4 linked regions of the Saccharomyces cerevisiae S288C genome follow. The protein of the gene in region 2 interacts with the protein of the main gene of each other region in a biochemical or structural test. Each region holds a gene or a part of one and is shown on either strand. Other genes may lie near its edges. The genes, in order: CIA2, CIA1, MET18 and RAD3.

What was found.
Region 1: the proteins of CIA1 (region 2) and CIA2 form a complex in vitro, tested with the Saccharomyces cerevisiae proteins (2 studies listed by BioGRID).
Region 3: the proteins of CIA1 (region 2) and MET18 form a complex in vitro, tested with the Saccharomyces cerevisiae proteins (one study listed by BioGRID).
Region 4: the proteins of CIA1 (region 2) and RAD3 form a complex in vitro, tested with the Saccharomyces cerevisiae proteins (one study listed by BioGRID).

Annotation. Positions count from the first base shown.
Region 1 is NC_001140.6:352,054-354,820, forward strand, and holds CIA2 (iron-sulfur cluster assembly protein CIA2), read left to right. Parts: upstream 1-1,571; coding exon 1,572-2,267; downstream 2,268-2,767. Other genes in the region: mismatch repair ATPase MSH1, read left to right, coding at 1-400; LSM12 (Lsm12p), read left to right, coding at 703-1,266; EPT1 (bifunctional diacylglycerol cholinephosphotransferase/ethanolaminephosphotransferase), read left to right, coding at 2,762-2,767. UniProt on the Saccharomyces cerevisiae protein: May play a role in chromosome segregation through establishment of sister chromatid cohesion.
Region 2 is NC_001136.10:1,001,961-1,005,048, reverse strand, and holds CIA1 (iron-sulfur cluster assembly protein CIA1), read left to right. Parts: upstream 1-1,546; coding exon 1,547-2,539; downstream 2,540-3,088. Other genes in the region: tryptophan--tRNA ligase MSW1, read right to left, coding at 1-1,045; E3 ubiquitin-protein ligase HEL2, read left to right, coding at 3,026-3,088. UniProt on the Saccharomyces cerevisiae protein: Essential component of the cytosolic iron-sulfur (Fe/S) protein assembly machinery. Required for the maturation of extramitochondrial Fe/S proteins.
Region 3 is NC_001141.2:111,954-117,408, forward strand, and holds MET18 (Met18p), read left to right. Parts: upstream 1-1,852; coding exon 1,853-4,951; downstream 4,952-5,455. Other genes in the region: TAO3 (Tao3p), read right to left, coding at 1-1,284; RRT14 (Rrt14p), read right to left, coding at 5,071-5,455. UniProt on the Saccharomyces cerevisiae protein: Key component of the cytosolic iron-sulfur protein assembly (CIA) machinery that mediates the incorporation of iron-sulfur cluster into apoproteins specifically involved in DNA metabolism and genomic integrity.
Region 4 is NC_001137.3:525,469-530,007, forward strand, and holds RAD3 (TFIIH/NER complex ATP-dependent 5'-3' DNA helicase subunit RAD3), read left to right. Parts: upstream 1-1,613; coding exon 1,614-3,950; downstream 3,951-4,539. Other genes in the region: RPH1 (Rph1p), read left to right, coding at 1-291; adenylate kinase ADK2, read left to right, coding at 506-1,183; ATP-dependent RNA helicase BRR2, read right to left, coding at 4,062-4,539. UniProt on the Saccharomyces cerevisiae protein: ATP-dependent 5'-3' DNA helicase.

The sequences.
Region 1 (2,767 bases), on a different chromosome or scaffold from region 2:
CATGGTTGAGATGATAGAAACATCGTTCATCTTGCAAGGAGCTACGGAACGGTCTTTAGCTATTCTAGATGAGATTGGCCGTGGGACTAGTGGTAAAGAAGGCATTAGCATCGCTTATGCAACTTTAAAGTATTTGTTAGAGAACAATCAATGCAGAACGCTTTTTGCTACACATTTTGGTCAAGAACTGAAGCAAATCATTGATAACAAATGTTCGAAAGGAATGAGCGAAAAGGTCAAGTTTTACCAAAGCGGAATCACTGATTTAGGTGGAAACAATTTTTGTTACAACCATAAGTTGAAGCCGGGCATCTGCACGAAATCAGATGCCATTAGAGTTGCGGAATTGGCCGGATTTCCAATGGAAGCGTTAAAAGAAGCCCGCGAAATATTGGGATAACTTTTGAATACAACTATTAATTGTATATAATTTGACATGTAATATAATAAGATGTGGAATCAATTTCCCTGTCTTTTTTTTCAAAAGCGACTGTGAAGATACTTAGAAAATGGCAAAAACGGTAGTTTGCAAATTTCCGTAGTTTGTCGCGCGAATGATATTAGCGGAAACAAAACGATCAAACCTTATACCATGAATATAATGGTGGATATTTATTACGGTAAGGAAACACTCTGAGCCAGGCTTGTAAATAGCGGTTATCTAAGCTTGTAACTAAAGAAATCAATTTGCATCTTTCGTCCATGAGTGTCAGCCTTGAGCAAACGCTCGGATTCAGAATAAAAGTTACGAACGTGTTGGATGTAGTTACTGAAGGAAGATTGTATTCGTTCAATTCATCCAACAACACTCTTACTATCCAAACAACAAAGAAGAATCAATCTCCACAAAACTTCAAGGTGATAAAATGTACATTCATCAAGCATTTGGAAGTCATTGGTGATAAGCCCTCGTTTAACTCATTCAAAAAGCAACAAATCAAACCCTCATATGTCAACGTGGAAAGAGTTGAGAAGCTTTTGAAAGAAAGTGTAATAGCATCTAAAAAGAAAGAACTCTTAAGGGGCAAGGGTGTGAGTGCAGAGGGTCAGTTCATTTTCGATCAAATCTTCAAGACCATAGGAGATACTAAGTGGGTGGCTAAAGACATCATTATTCTTGATGACGTTAAGGTGCAACCTCCATACAAGGTCGAAGATATCAAAGTGCTACATGAGGGAAGTAACCAATCCATTACATTAATTCAAAGAATAGTGGAAAGAAGCTGGGAGCAGCTAGAACAAGACGATGGTAGGAAAGGTGGATAGATTAATTAATGACGGAAACGATAATATACGTTATATATTTTATCCGTACTTCTATAATGTCAACTATTGTTTATAAAGAGATCCATTTGAGTCTACAGATTTTTCTATTTATCAAACTATAATATTCCACCACTCTCTTCTCAGTCGCAATGCTTGGGTGTACGGTGTTTGAATAATTGAATTAGATTTAAATGCGAATAAGTGATGACTAACAAGCAAAAAAATCGAGTATTTCAAGATCCAGTCGAATATAAAATCTTGCTACTGCATTATTCTACGATTTCCTGTTATCACTTATAGTACACATGTCTGAGTTTTTGAATGAAAATCCCGACATTTTAGAGGAGAACCAACTTCCCACTAGAAAAGAAGATAGTACCAAGGACCTTTTGTTAGGCGGGTTCAGCAACGAAGCTACGCTGGAAAGGAGAAGCCTTTTGCTGAAAATAGACCATTCTTTAAAGTCTCAGGTATTGCAAGATATAGAGGTCTTAGACAAGCTTCTTTCCATTCGAATTCCACCAGAACTGACTTCCGATGAGGATAGTTTGCCAGCAGAAAGCGAGGATGAATCCGTAGCGGGTGGAGGAAAGGAGGAGGAAGAGCCTGATCTCATTGATGCTCAAGAAATATATGATTTGATAGCTCATATTTCCGACCCTGAGCACCCGTTAAGTCTGGGACAACTCTCTGTTGTAAATTTGGAAGATATTGATGTTCATGATTCAGGAAACCAGAACGAAATGGCTGAAGTCGTGATCAAAATAACACCAACAATTACCCATTGTTCTCTGGCAACGTTGATTGGTCTGGGGATACGGGTCAGGTTAGAAAGGTCTCTTCCCCCAAGATTTAGAATTACTATTTTGTTGAAGAAAGGTACTCATGATAGTGAGAACCAGGTAAATAAACAACTAAATGATAAGGAACGTGTAGCAGCTGCATGTGAGAATGAACAACTGTTGGGTGTAGTCTCTAAGATGTTAGTGACTTGTAAGTAAACGGGGATTCTTCTTTTTGCTTCCCTTACTCACGAAGCTATCAAAAAACATGTAAATTTAACAATGTGCTCTCACTGTATAACACAGCTATAGCTACATTTTATTATATAGTATTTTCTCCAATCGATTAAATAACGGTTTTTACAATGGTTTGGTTCCTGTATCTTGTTTATTTTGTTCAAATGGCAAAATACAGAACACAGGTATAACTTTCTTTGTCTTCTTCATCAAAGAGTATCGCATATCAAACCTTTATGTACATTAACGAACTCTCGACCTATAGTAGCCTCCTGGCGTTCGTTCAGTGTTATTCTTACGATTGGTCTCACTTTTCATAAAATTTCACAAGCTTCCATATTTACGCGAGGAATTGTGCGAAAGGGCTGGACTGAGCATACGTATATTTGTCGAGAAATTACGTTGTGGCTAAGAATACAATGGCATCGTAGTAGGAATTAGAAGTGTAGAATAAGAAAAACAAGCTAAGGTATAAAATGGGA
Region 2 (3,088 bases):
TCGGTTCGTTGATATATTTCTCAAATTCTGTTCTTGGGCCTTTCAATTCCTCAATTATCACTTCTGAAACATAATCTTTGAAATCCCTATAGTTATTGAAACGAGATACATCTTCTACGACATCTTCAATCGATTTTCTTTGAATGCCACTGACAATGTTAATTAAATTCGATACGCCTGGTCTTTCTACAGGGTCGTAGTAGAACCTATCAGAAATGGAATCTGTTAAAGCTTTTCTAATCTTTTTCTGAATTGCCTTAGGCTCATCATTCAAAAAAATTACAGAGTCGTGATTCGGATCACTCTTGGACATTTTCTTTTCAGGCGTGCTTAAGCTCAAAACTTTTTTCGTTTGTGCCAACATAGTTACAGGTTTAGGAAAAAAATTTTTCTTGTACATTTTGTTAAACTTTTCAGCAAGGTGTCTTGTTAGTTCCAAATGCTGCGATTGATCATCGCCAACAGGAACGTGTGTAGATTTATAAAGTAGAATATCCGCTGCCTGTAAAACAGGATACGAAAATAAGCCCAGTCTAACTTTTCCCACGTCAGAATCGTTAACCAGATAATCCCCATTAGTTGATTGTTTGATATTCGATTTTGATTTCCATTGCGTCATGCGGTTAAGTAATCCCATCGAGGCAAGAGTAGAAAGCAACCAGTGTAATTCACTGTGTTGAGGGATGGCGGATTGGTAGATCACCGAAGCCTTTTCTGGATCTACACCGACAGCCAGTATACTTGCTACTGCCTCATGGCGAAATTTTCTAAACATTTCTCCATCTGGCTTTGGAACAGTGATAGCGTGTAAATCAGCAACTCCAAATATCAATTCCTGGCCAGGTTGTTTTAATTCACATAAGTCTGTCCAAACACGTGTAGCACCTAGATAATTACCAAGGTGGAAACACCCAGTTGGCTGAATCATACTAAATACCGTAGCATTACTATGAAGCGCTTCGGAATTCAGCTTAAAATCGGCACGTTGCACTGTGCTTATCCACCTTTTACTGATTAACTTCAGAACCGCCTGCTTATTCGACATCTTCCTTGTAAAAGATAGTGTAAATATTTATCAAAACCTGATTCACTCCTTAGTAACGTAAAACCTTTGAGATGGTGCAGGTAGCCTGTAATAAATCATAATACCCTTTTCTACTTTCTCGAAGCCGATTTTATCACGTGAAAAACAAAAAATACCTTTGCACTTCTATCTTGTTTTGTGTTGCCTTTATAAGGAGAAAAAGATCTTCAAGAAAAGGTCATACTAATTGTAGAAACGTTTGAATTTAAGGAATCTGACTCTGATGTGCATAGCAGTGTTACTACTATTTATTTTCTTGAAAAATACCATCGTGATTGCCTTCAAATAGGTCATCTAAAACTTTCTGCTCTCAGCGGGCCGTGTTTTGAAAAATCTCACATCGAATATTGTATCGTCTTTGCCTCATTAATTGCGAATAAATACTAGATTTGTAGATATCACAAATCAAAATCGGGCTATACCACGACATTTTAATAGTTCAATTGGTTTACTTATTTGGTAATGGCGTCTATCAATCTGATTAAGTCTTTGAAACTTTACAAGGAAAAGATATGGTCTTTTGACTTTTCTCAAGGTATATTAGCAACAGGTTCAACTGATCGAAAAATTAAGCTAGTTAGCGTGAAATATGACGATTTTACGTTAATTGATGTGCTAGATGAGACTGCTCATAAAAAGGCGATTCGATCTGTGGCGTGGAGACCTCACACTTCGCTGTTAGCGGCTGGCTCTTTTGATTCCACTGTATCTATCTGGGCTAAGGAAGAATCTGCTGACAGAACTTTCGAGATGGACCTGCTAGCTATTATCGAAGGTCACGAAAATGAAGTAAAAGGTGTAGCGTGGTCGAATGATGGATATTACCTAGCAACCTGTTCCAGAGATAAAAGCGTGTGGATATGGGAAACAGATGAAAGTGGCGAGGAATATGAGTGTATTAGTGTTTTGCAAGAACATTCACAAGACGTTAAACATGTTATATGGCATCCATCTGAAGCATTACTGGCTTCAAGTTCTTATGATGACACCGTCAGGATATGGAAAGACTATGACGATGACTGGGAATGTGTTGCTGTCTTAAATGGCCATGAAGGAACTGTTTGGTCTTCTGATTTTGACAAGACTGAGGGCGTGTTTAGACTGTGCAGTGGAAGCGACGATTCCACTGTACGGGTATGGAAATACATGGGTGACGACGAGGATGATCAACAAGAATGGGTTTGTGAAGCTATTCTCCCGGATGTACACAAAAGACAGGTATACAATGTTGCATGGGGCTTTAATGGCCTCATTGCTAGTGTAGGAGCGGATGGAGTACTAGCGGTCTATGAAGAAGTAGACGGAGAATGGAAAGTTTTTGCTAAACGTGCATTATGTCATGGAGTTTATGAAATCAACGTTGTGAAGTGGTTGGAGTTAAATGGTAAAACTATACTTGCAACAGGCGGTGACGACGGGATCGTAAATTTCTGGTCTCTAGAAAAAGCAGCGTAGATGTAGAAGCAAGAGTACAATTCAGGAACTCATATTAACACAGTGATCGATCTGAATTCTAAAAATAAACTTAATGACGATTTTTCTACCTAGTTACATAAACCTTTGTATCACTATAACGCAATTCTGTCATGTGTGACGGAGTGACCTCGTTATACATATCCCTGCATTAAAAGCATGCGGTAAAAACTGAAATTTAAAAATGAAAAAAAAAAAAATTAGATATTCGGAAGACTTGTAATTAAGCATTATCTCGAATAAAGAAAGGTTACACTGAAAGTTTCATACTCGCGGTCACTCTTAATAATAGCTATATTTTCTGATTTTCTCTTAAGATTTTGAAAAGGGCATCTGAACGACTGCCCACTCAGCCATATTCAACAAATCGTCGAGCGCATACCTAGCTGAAAAAGATCCATAAAGTGCATTTTGATACAGTCTCTTTCGTCGAAAAAATAGTGGCTATACTTCTTTTCAAGAATTAGGATGAGCGAATCAGTGAAAGAAAACGTTACTCCGACACGTAACTTCCGTCGTACTCAAGGGCCC
Region 3 (5,455 bases), on a different chromosome or scaffold from region 2:
TCGATCACTAACTGACAAAAATTTCTTTTCAGACATAGAGCCCAGTAGTTCGGCAAAAGAATTCCAATTCGAAGACTTAATTAAACTAGTTGATATAGAAAGTGGATCAGTAGTTTTTAACTGAGTAAAAACAATCTCTTCTAGCTTATCAGATAAATCTTCTTCTTCATTGCTGGAAGCCTGCTTAACAATTTCATTTAGCACCCTGCATAGGATGTATATACTAATCAGAGATTTCCTATCTGCAAGGAATGCTTCTTCTTTTGCTACTTCAATTGTGTTCTCTAAACTTTTCAATTGTGAGTTCGCTATGGATGGACTTGAAGTAGCGCTATTGTTACTGCTACTAGCTTTGATTAACGGAACTTTGTTGTTGAAAGATGAGGAAACGTGCCTTTTCATGCCAGGAAGATTATTGGTATTGTTATTATGTTTGTACTTTGAGGTTGTATTACTGGAAGATCTTGATAGCCGCCTATTCATTAAAAAATGAGCCTGCGAGGGATGTGCCTTTTCAAACTCATACTCTTTTAATAGTTTTTCCATTTCTTCTGAAGCAGAGTTGGCCGCTTCAGATTTAGTCTTCCTCCAAAACATCATTGCATCAATCACAGGTTTCGGTTTTTTCTTTGCAATGTGACCTAGAGATTTAATAATTTCATCAAAGCTGGGATCAACGCCTTCACCAAGAATTTCTACAATTGGGGGTTCCGCCATGTCCAACTGCTGTAGACACATATTTAGTTTGTTCTCCGCGTAACGAATAAACTTTGTAAAAAGTATATGAAGAGCATATTCAGAGGGACTTTTCCAATCTGTAGCCATTTGCTGTCTCAAAGTAGTCACGTAGTCCTCTGCTACTGATTTTGCTGTAATGTCCGGCGGTGCTGATTCTTGCATTCTTTGCTGCTTTTGTTCAGGTAGTAGCATTGAAATCTTGTTTTGATCACTTTGCTCCTCAACAAAGGTAGGCGGAAGAGCTTGACCTTCCCCCGTTCCTTGTTGCTGTTGTTGCCGTAAAAGTAATTGATTATTTAGAGAGGTGCCTTCAGACATATCAGTAGGAGATGGAATATCAATAATAGGTGCATCCGTAACGGATTGGTGAAGAGGAAATGTGTTAAGTGGCGCTTCGTTTATTTCCTCCAAGACATCCTGGCCTGAAGGATCAATATCTATTGATATCTGGTTATTGTTGCTAGAACCTTCTGCTTTATTTGTCGGTGGGAAGGTGAAACCAATGCCTTGATCCCTCTGGGGCGGGAAAGTAAATCTCGAGGCCATTTTGATGTATAACAAAACTAAAAAGGGTTATTAAAATGGGAACACAACAAACAACCAGAATTTTCACACTTTAACCAGTCACGTCCTATTATGAAGACCTAAATCCACATTTGCTTTCTCTCTTCATTTGCCTAATCCTTTATCCCAATTTCTACAGTTCTATATGTATTTTCCTGTGTGGCTGTCGTTTCGTGGTTAGTGATACAACCATAACGATTCAACCAACTCCCAATGTATGTGATGTTGATACCGCTAATTTGGAAGGGATGGTATACTCTAGGTGACCTCAATGAGTCAAAGAGAGCTAGGACATACTTCGAGATAGGTAATACCACTTTGCAGCTTCTTTTTAGGCCTTCATGAGTGAGTAGCCAAGAAAAAGTTAAAAGCGGGTAATAGGTATGAATTTTTCAAATACTGAAATTTGGTTTAGTTATTTAAGTGAATTGTAGATTATGTACATTTTACGTGCAATGAAGGAGTCACCTCTATGATCATCTAGTTATTAGCTGTTAGTTTTCATTGAACTTGTTTTAACTGGGAAAAAGCGGAACAATTGGGCCTTACAATGACACCAGACGAACTAAATTCAGCAGTCGTCACCTTTATGGCCAATCTGAATATTGATGATTCGAAGGCCAACGAAACCGCTTCCACAGTAACGGATTCTATTGTACACCGATCAATAAAATTGCTGGAAGTTGTCGTTGCGTTGAAAGATTATTTTCTTTCAGAAAATGAGGTAGAAAGGAAGAAAGCGTTGACATGTTTAACCACTATCTTAGCAAAAACTCCCAAGGACCACCTCTCCAAAAACGAATGCTCAGTAATATTTCAGTTTTACCAGTCTAAGCTTGATGATCAAGCGCTTGCAAAAGAAGTCTTGGAGGGCTTCGCCGCATTAGCTCCAATGAAATATGTCTCCATTAACGAGATAGCCCAACTTTTGAGATTATTATTGGACAACTATCAACAAGGCCAGCATTTGGCATCAACTAGACTGTGGCCATTTAAAATTTTGAGAAAAATATTTGATAGATTTTTCGTCAATGGATCCTCGACCGAACAAGTCAAACGAATCAACGATTTGTTTATTGAAACATTTCTTCATGTTGCCAATGGTGAAAAAGACCCTAGAAATTTACTCTTGTCATTTGCACTTAATAAATCTATCACATCGTCCTTGCAAAACGTGGAGAATTTTAAAGAAGACTTATTTGATGTCTTATTTTGCTATTTCCCAATCACTTTCAAGCCACCAAAGCATGATCCTTACAAGATCTCCAACCAAGATTTAAAAACAGCTTTGCGATCAGCAATTACTGCGACGCCATTATTTGCCGAAGATGCTTATAGCAATTTGCTGGACAAACTCACTGCTTCTTCACCGGTAGTGAAAAATGATACACTTCTGACGCTATTAGAATGCGTTAGAAAATTCGGCGGCTCTTCTATATTGGAAAATTGGACGTTACTTTGGAACGCTTTGAAATTTGAAATTATGCAAAACAGCGAAGGAAATGAAAACACTCTACTAAATCCGTACAATAAAGACCAACAGAGTGATGATGTGGGCCAATATACTAACTACGATGCTTGCTTGAAAATTATTAATCTAATGGCATTGCAACTATACAATTTTGACAAAGTATCATTTGAAAAGTTCTTCACTCATGTATTAGATGAGTTGAAACCAAATTTTAAATATGAAAAGGATTTGAAGCAAACCTGCCAGATTTTGTCCGCTATAGGTAGTGGGAATGTCGAGATATTTAACAAGGTCATTTCGTCAACTTTCCCCTTATTTTTGATCAATACATCTGAAGTTGCCAAACTTAAGCTGCTGATTATGAATTTTTCTTTTTTTGTTGACTCGTACATTGATTTGTTTGGAAGAACATCTAAAGAATCGTTGGGAACACCGGTGCCAAATAATAAAATGGCTGAATACAAAGACGAGATCATAATGATTTTGAGCATGGCCTTGACAAGAAGCTCCAAGGCAGAGGTTACCATAAGGACTCTATCTGTGATTCAATTCACAAAAATGATTAAAATGAAGGGCTTTTTAACCCCAGAGGAAGTTTCACTAATTATTCAATACTTCACGGAAGAAATATTAACGGATAACAACAAAAACATTTACTATGCTTGTTTGGAAGGGTTAAAGACAATCAGTGAGATATATGAGGATTTAGTTTTTGAAATATCATTGAAGAAATTATTGGATTTGTTACCTGATTGCTTCGAGGAAAAAATTCGAGTAAATGATGAGGAAAATATTCACATTGAAACAATTTTGAAGATTATTCTTGATTTCACCACTTCGAGACATATTTTGGTCAAAGAAAGCATTACATTTTTAGCGACAAAATTGAATAGGGTAGCTAAAATTTCGAAATCCAGAGAATATTGCTTTCTACTTATTTCAACCATATATTCTCTTTTTAATAATAATAATCAAAATGAGAACGTGCTAAATGAAGAAGATGCTCTTGCACTCAAGAATGCCATTGAGCCAAAATTATTTGAGATAATTACTCAGGAATCGGCCATTGTAAGTGACAATTACAATTTGACACTTCTATCTAACGTTCTTTTCTTCACCAATTTGAAAATTCCACAGGCTGCACACCAAGAAGAACTAGACAGATATAACGAGCTTTTCATTTCTGAAGGTAAGATAAGAATCTTAGACACACCGAATGTATTGGCTATTTCATATGCTAAAATATTATCCGCACTAAATAAAAACTGCCAATTCCCCCAAAAATTTACAGTGCTTTTCGGAACGGTTCAACTACTCAAAAAACATGCTCCAAGAATGACGGAGACTGAAAAATTAGGATACCTGGAATTGCTGTTGGTCTTATCAAATAAATTCGTCTCTGAAAAAGATGTGATAGGATTATTCGATTGGAAAGACTTATCAGTAATTAATCTTGAAGTGATGGTTTGGTTGACTAAAGGGCTGATAATGCAAAACTCATTAGAGTCATCAGAAATTGCAAAAAAGTTTATTGATTTACTGTCTAATGAAGAGATTGGCTCACTTGTATCGAAGCTATTCGAAGTTTTTGTCATGGATATCAGTTCTTTGAAGAAATTTAAAGGTATCAGTTGGAATAATAACGTTAAAATCTTGTACAAACAAAAATTCTTCGGTGACATTTTTCAAACACTAGTCAGCAACTATAAAAATACCGTGGACATGACCATTAAATGCAATTATTTAACTGCATTATCCTTAGTGTTGAAGCATACTCCAAGCCAATCGGTTGGTCCTTTTATCAACGATTTATTCCCGCTTTTATTGCAGGCTTTGGATATGCCTGATCCTGAAGTAAGGGTATCCGCTTTAGAAACTCTGAAGGACACTACGGATAAACATCACACTTTAATTACTGAACACGTAAGCACAATAGTTCCATTATTACTATCTCTTTCGCTTCCGCACAAATATAATAGTGTCAGTGTCAGGTTAATAGCCTTACAGCTTCTAGAAATGATTACGACTGTAGTACCTCTAAACTATTGTTTGAGCTATCAGGACGATGTTCTAAGCGCTTTAATACCAGTTTTATCTGACAAAAAAAGAATAATAAGAAAGCAATGCGTTGACACAAGACAGGTTTATTATGAATTAGGCCAAATCCCGTTCGAGTAAACGCTTGTATTTAATAATTTGTTCACATTGATGAGCACGTGAAAATCTTAGCGAGTATACTAAGTAAATATGATTCTTTTATGTATAGTACAGCAAAATAGCATTTATTTTTATTACGTTTAATCTTCTTCACTAGAGTCTTCCTCGTCGCTTAGTCCTACAGGTGCCAAACCCGGTGTCAGACCAGGATATCTATGATCTTTAACAAAATCGCTCTCTTTGATATCTTCCTTGAATTGTTTTCTTTTGAACCTTCTTCTTTTACTCCTGTCTGTGTTCGCAGTGGAAACTGTATCCTTCAAGATGGATTGCTGAATGTCTTCAAGCTCATCTCGTACTTCCTCTTCTAAATCCCACGACCTCAAATTTTGAGAATTCCTTTTGATTAACTTATTCAAATACTTCCTCTCATGGTCCGTTAATGTGCCCTCATGTTGATGTTTTTTCAAAACCTGGTGTTTTGCCAGTTGTTCAAGTTGCTCTTTATCTAATTTATGTTTCTTA
Region 4 (4,539 bases), on a different chromosome or scaffold from region 2:
GTGTTATCAGGTAAGAACAAGATTTATATTTGTAAGGAATGCCAAAGAAAGTTCTCTTCTGGTCACCATCTTACAAGACACAAAAAATCCGTCCACTCTGGTGAGAAACCTCATTCTTGTCCCAAATGTGGCAAAAGATTTAAAAGGAGAGATCACGTTCTGCAGCACTTGAATAAGAAAATACCGTGTATTTCAAACGAAACAACAGTAGATGCTCCAATAATGAACCCTACAGTGCAACCGCAGGACGGGAAAGCGGCCATTAATCAACAGAGTACACCTTTAAACTGACTCACGATTGCCAGTTGTTTACCGAGATCTCTCATTTTGAAGGCTCTTAAAATGTGCTCGGTCGGCCGGGAATTCGCGAAAACCCACATTCACTAATAAATACCATTACAATAACCATCATTATATAGATACACATGTGTAGAAAAGGATAATATACGTATATATATTTGTTTGTAAATCTTTAAATTTTCAGGAACAGGGTTAGCAAGCATCAATGAAAGCAGACGCGAAACAAATAACACATCTACTCAAACCTCTTCGACTTTTATTATTGGGGGCTCCAGGGTCAGGTAAAGGGACACAGACTTCGAGATTACTAAAGCAAATTCCACAATTATCTTCAATTTCGTCAGGCGACATTTTACGTCAGGAAATAAAATCTGAATCTACCCTAGGCCGAGAGGCTACTACCTACATTGCTCAAGGCAAGTTATTACCGGATGATCTCATAACGCGTCTGATAACTTTTCGTCTTTCGGCATTGGGTTGGTTAAAACCATCTGCCATGTGGTTGCTCGATGGATTTCCTCGAACTACTGCGCAAGCTTCTGCCTTAGACGAGCTGCTGAAACAGCATGACGCCAGCTTGAATCTAGTGGTAGAGCTAGATGTACCCGAATCCACCATATTAGAAAGGATCGAGAACAGATATGTTCACGTTCCTAGTGGGAGAGTGTATAACTTACAATATAATCCTCCCAAAGTGCCAGGATTAGACGATATCACCGGAGAACCATTGACCAAGAGGCTTGATGACACAGCGGAAGTGTTTAAAAAAAGGCTAGAAGAGTACAAGAAAACAAATGAGCCTTTAAAAGATTATTACAAAAAAAGTGGGATTTTTGGTACCGTCTCTGGGGAAACATCAGATATTATCTTCCGAAATTATTGAACCTTATAACCAGCAAATTCGGCTAATAGGGTGATTTAACGCTACACTAACTGCAAGTATATGTTAACCTTCCCCGAGACTTTGAAAAACCGTGACTCTAGTTGGAAGTCAGCATCTCGTCAACCAAATGATTACAGTTCACTTTGAATATTCTGAATAGCCTTTATGATATGAGTTAATCCTATATTAATCATGGCCGACGGCATTTAAGCGATGTATATGAAATTTATGAAAAATTAAAGTAGCGTACTTTATGCTACATAGCTTTTGAAAAGAAATCTCTGGTCTGTAAATAATAAATAAATATATATATATGTATATCTTAAAGTTGACAAAGTACTGTTAGCCATTCATAGAAATACTATATTTCATCTTGGGTTGAAGGTGATAATCGGCCCGATTTGACTACACTTTAAGAAGATTGGAAACAATGAAGTTTTATATAGATGATTTACCAGTGCTTTTTCCATACCCCAAGATATATCCAGAGCAGTATAATTATATGTGCGATATTAAAAAGACTCTGGATGTAGGTGGAAATAGTATCTTGGAGATGCCTTCAGGAACAGGTAAAACGGTCTCATTACTATCCCTCACAATTGCCTACCAGATGCACTACCCAGAACATAGAAAGATCATATATTGTTCTCGTACTATGTCTGAAATTGAAAAAGCTTTAGTAGAGTTAGAGAACCTTATGGATTACAGAACTAAAGAACTAGGCTATCAAGAGGATTTTCGAGGTCTTGGCTTGACATCAAGAAAAAATTTGTGTTTGCATCCCGAAGTGAGTAAGGAACGAAAAGGTACAGTAGTCGATGAAAAGTGCCGTAGAATGACAAATGGGCAGGCGAAGAGAAAATTAGAAGAGGATCCAGAGGCAAATGTAGAATTGTGTGAATACCATGAGAATTTGTACAATATTGAAGTAGAGGATTATCTTCCAAAAGGCGTATTTTCTTTTGAAAAACTTTTGAAATACTGCGAAGAAAAAACACTTTGTCCATATTTTATTGTTCGTCGTATGATTTCTCTTTGTAACATTATTATTTATTCTTACCATTATCTATTAGATCCTAAAATTGCTGAAAGAGTTTCCAACGAGGTTTCTAAAGATAGCATTGTCATTTTTGATGAAGCGCACAATATTGATAATGTGTGTATCGAATCGCTGTCATTAGACTTGACAACGGATGCATTGAGAAGAGCCACACGAGGTGCTAATGCGTTAGATGAACGTATTTCTGAGGTCAGAAAGGTTGACTCACAGAAATTACAGGATGAATACGAAAAACTAGTTCAAGGTCTCCATTCTGCAGATATTCTTACCGACCAGGAAGAGCCATTTGTGGAAACACCTGTATTGCCCCAAGATCTTCTAACAGAAGCAATCCCGGGAAATATACGAAGAGCCGAGCATTTTGTTTCATTTTTGAAAAGATTGATAGAATATCTGAAGACCAGAATGAAAGTTCTTCACGTTATTTCAGAAACGCCAAAATCATTTCTACAGCATTTAAAACAGTTAACTTTCATAGAAAGGAAACCTCTTCGGTTTTGCTCAGAAAGGCTATCATTACTTGTAAGAACTTTAGAAGTTACAGAGGTAGAAGATTTTACTGCATTGAAAGACATAGCAACTTTTGCTACTCTTATATCAACATATGAGGAAGGGTTTTTACTAATTATTGAACCGTATGAAATCGAAAATGCTGCAGTTCCGAATCCGATTATGAGATTTACTTGCTTAGATGCATCGATTGCCATCAAACCAGTCTTTGAGAGATTTTCTTCCGTTATTATCACTTCAGGGACCATATCACCATTAGACATGTATCCAAGAATGTTAAACTTTAAAACTGTTTTACAAAAATCATATGCCATGACCTTAGCCAAAAAATCATTTCTACCAATGATTATTACCAAGGGTTCTGATCAAGTTGCAATTTCTTCAAGATTTGAAATCAGAAACGATCCTAGTATTGTTCGTAATTACGGTTCTATGCTAGTAGAGTTTGCCAAGATCACACCTGATGGAATGGTTGTTTTTTTCCCCTCATATCTATATATGGAAAGTATTGTTTCAATGTGGCAAACAATGGGTATTCTTGACGAAGTTTGGAAACATAAATTAATTTTAGTTGAGACTCCTGATGCTCAAGAAACTTCTTTAGCCTTAGAAACCTATAGAAAGGCTTGCTCAAATGGGCGTGGGGCAATTTTGCTTTCTGTTGCTAGAGGAAAGGTATCTGAAGGTATCGATTTTGATCATCAATATGGCAGAACTGTGCTGATGATAGGTATCCCGTTTCAATACACAGAATCGCGTATTTTGAAAGCTCGCCTAGAATTCATGAGGGAGAACTATCGCATCAGAGAAAACGACTTCTTATCTTTCGATGCGATGAGACATGCAGCTCAATGTCTGGGGAGAGTACTGAGAGGGAAGGACGACTATGGTGTAATGGTACTAGCAGACCGTAGGTTTTCAAGAAAAAGAAGCCAGTTACCAAAATGGATTGCTCAAGGTTTGTCTGACGCCGATTTGAACCTTTCGACTGACATGGCCATATCCAATACCAAACAATTCTTGAGAACAATGGCACAACCCACAGACCCTAAAGACCAAGAGGGTGTATCTGTTTGGAGTTATGAAGATTTAATAAAGCACCAGAATAGCAGAAAAGATCAAGGTGGATTTATTGAAAACGAAAACAAAGAAGGAGAACAGGATGAAGATGAAGATGAAGATATAGAAATGCAGTGATGCAATGATACGCTTTTGCTATAAACTGTATATATCACAATTAGATTAAATAGCCGCAAGAGAATGTTATATATTGAAATCCATTCGATTATCCAGGACTAAACAATGATTTTATTTCACATTTATTTCAAAGGACAACTCTTTATCTGCGTCAAGATATGAATCACAGACACACCAAATTGTTAAGTTATGTTTACCAGATGTCGGAGTGTCAAATTCCAATTCATATTGCTGAGTCTCTTTATTTAAAGTAACTTTCTTGATCGCATAAAGCTCTTTTTTAGATACTTCACCTAAAACCAACCACCAACTTTCTAGCTTATCAAACGGATACTTTTCAGATGTTACTTGTAAGTTCTCAGGTTCAACATCTCTTGTCAATTGAATGGTAATTTTCTGTTTTACACCTGAAATTAACGAATCAGAATTATTCAACGAATAAGTAAGTTCAACGTTGGGGTAATTGTTAACAAACGCGGCGACCTGCGCAAGCTGTGAATCAGTAAGCGTTAAAATTTCATCCCTCTCTTCATCCTCAAGGGCCATTATATCATAGACCGTCTCGACGTTAATTTCTTTACATTTTTCC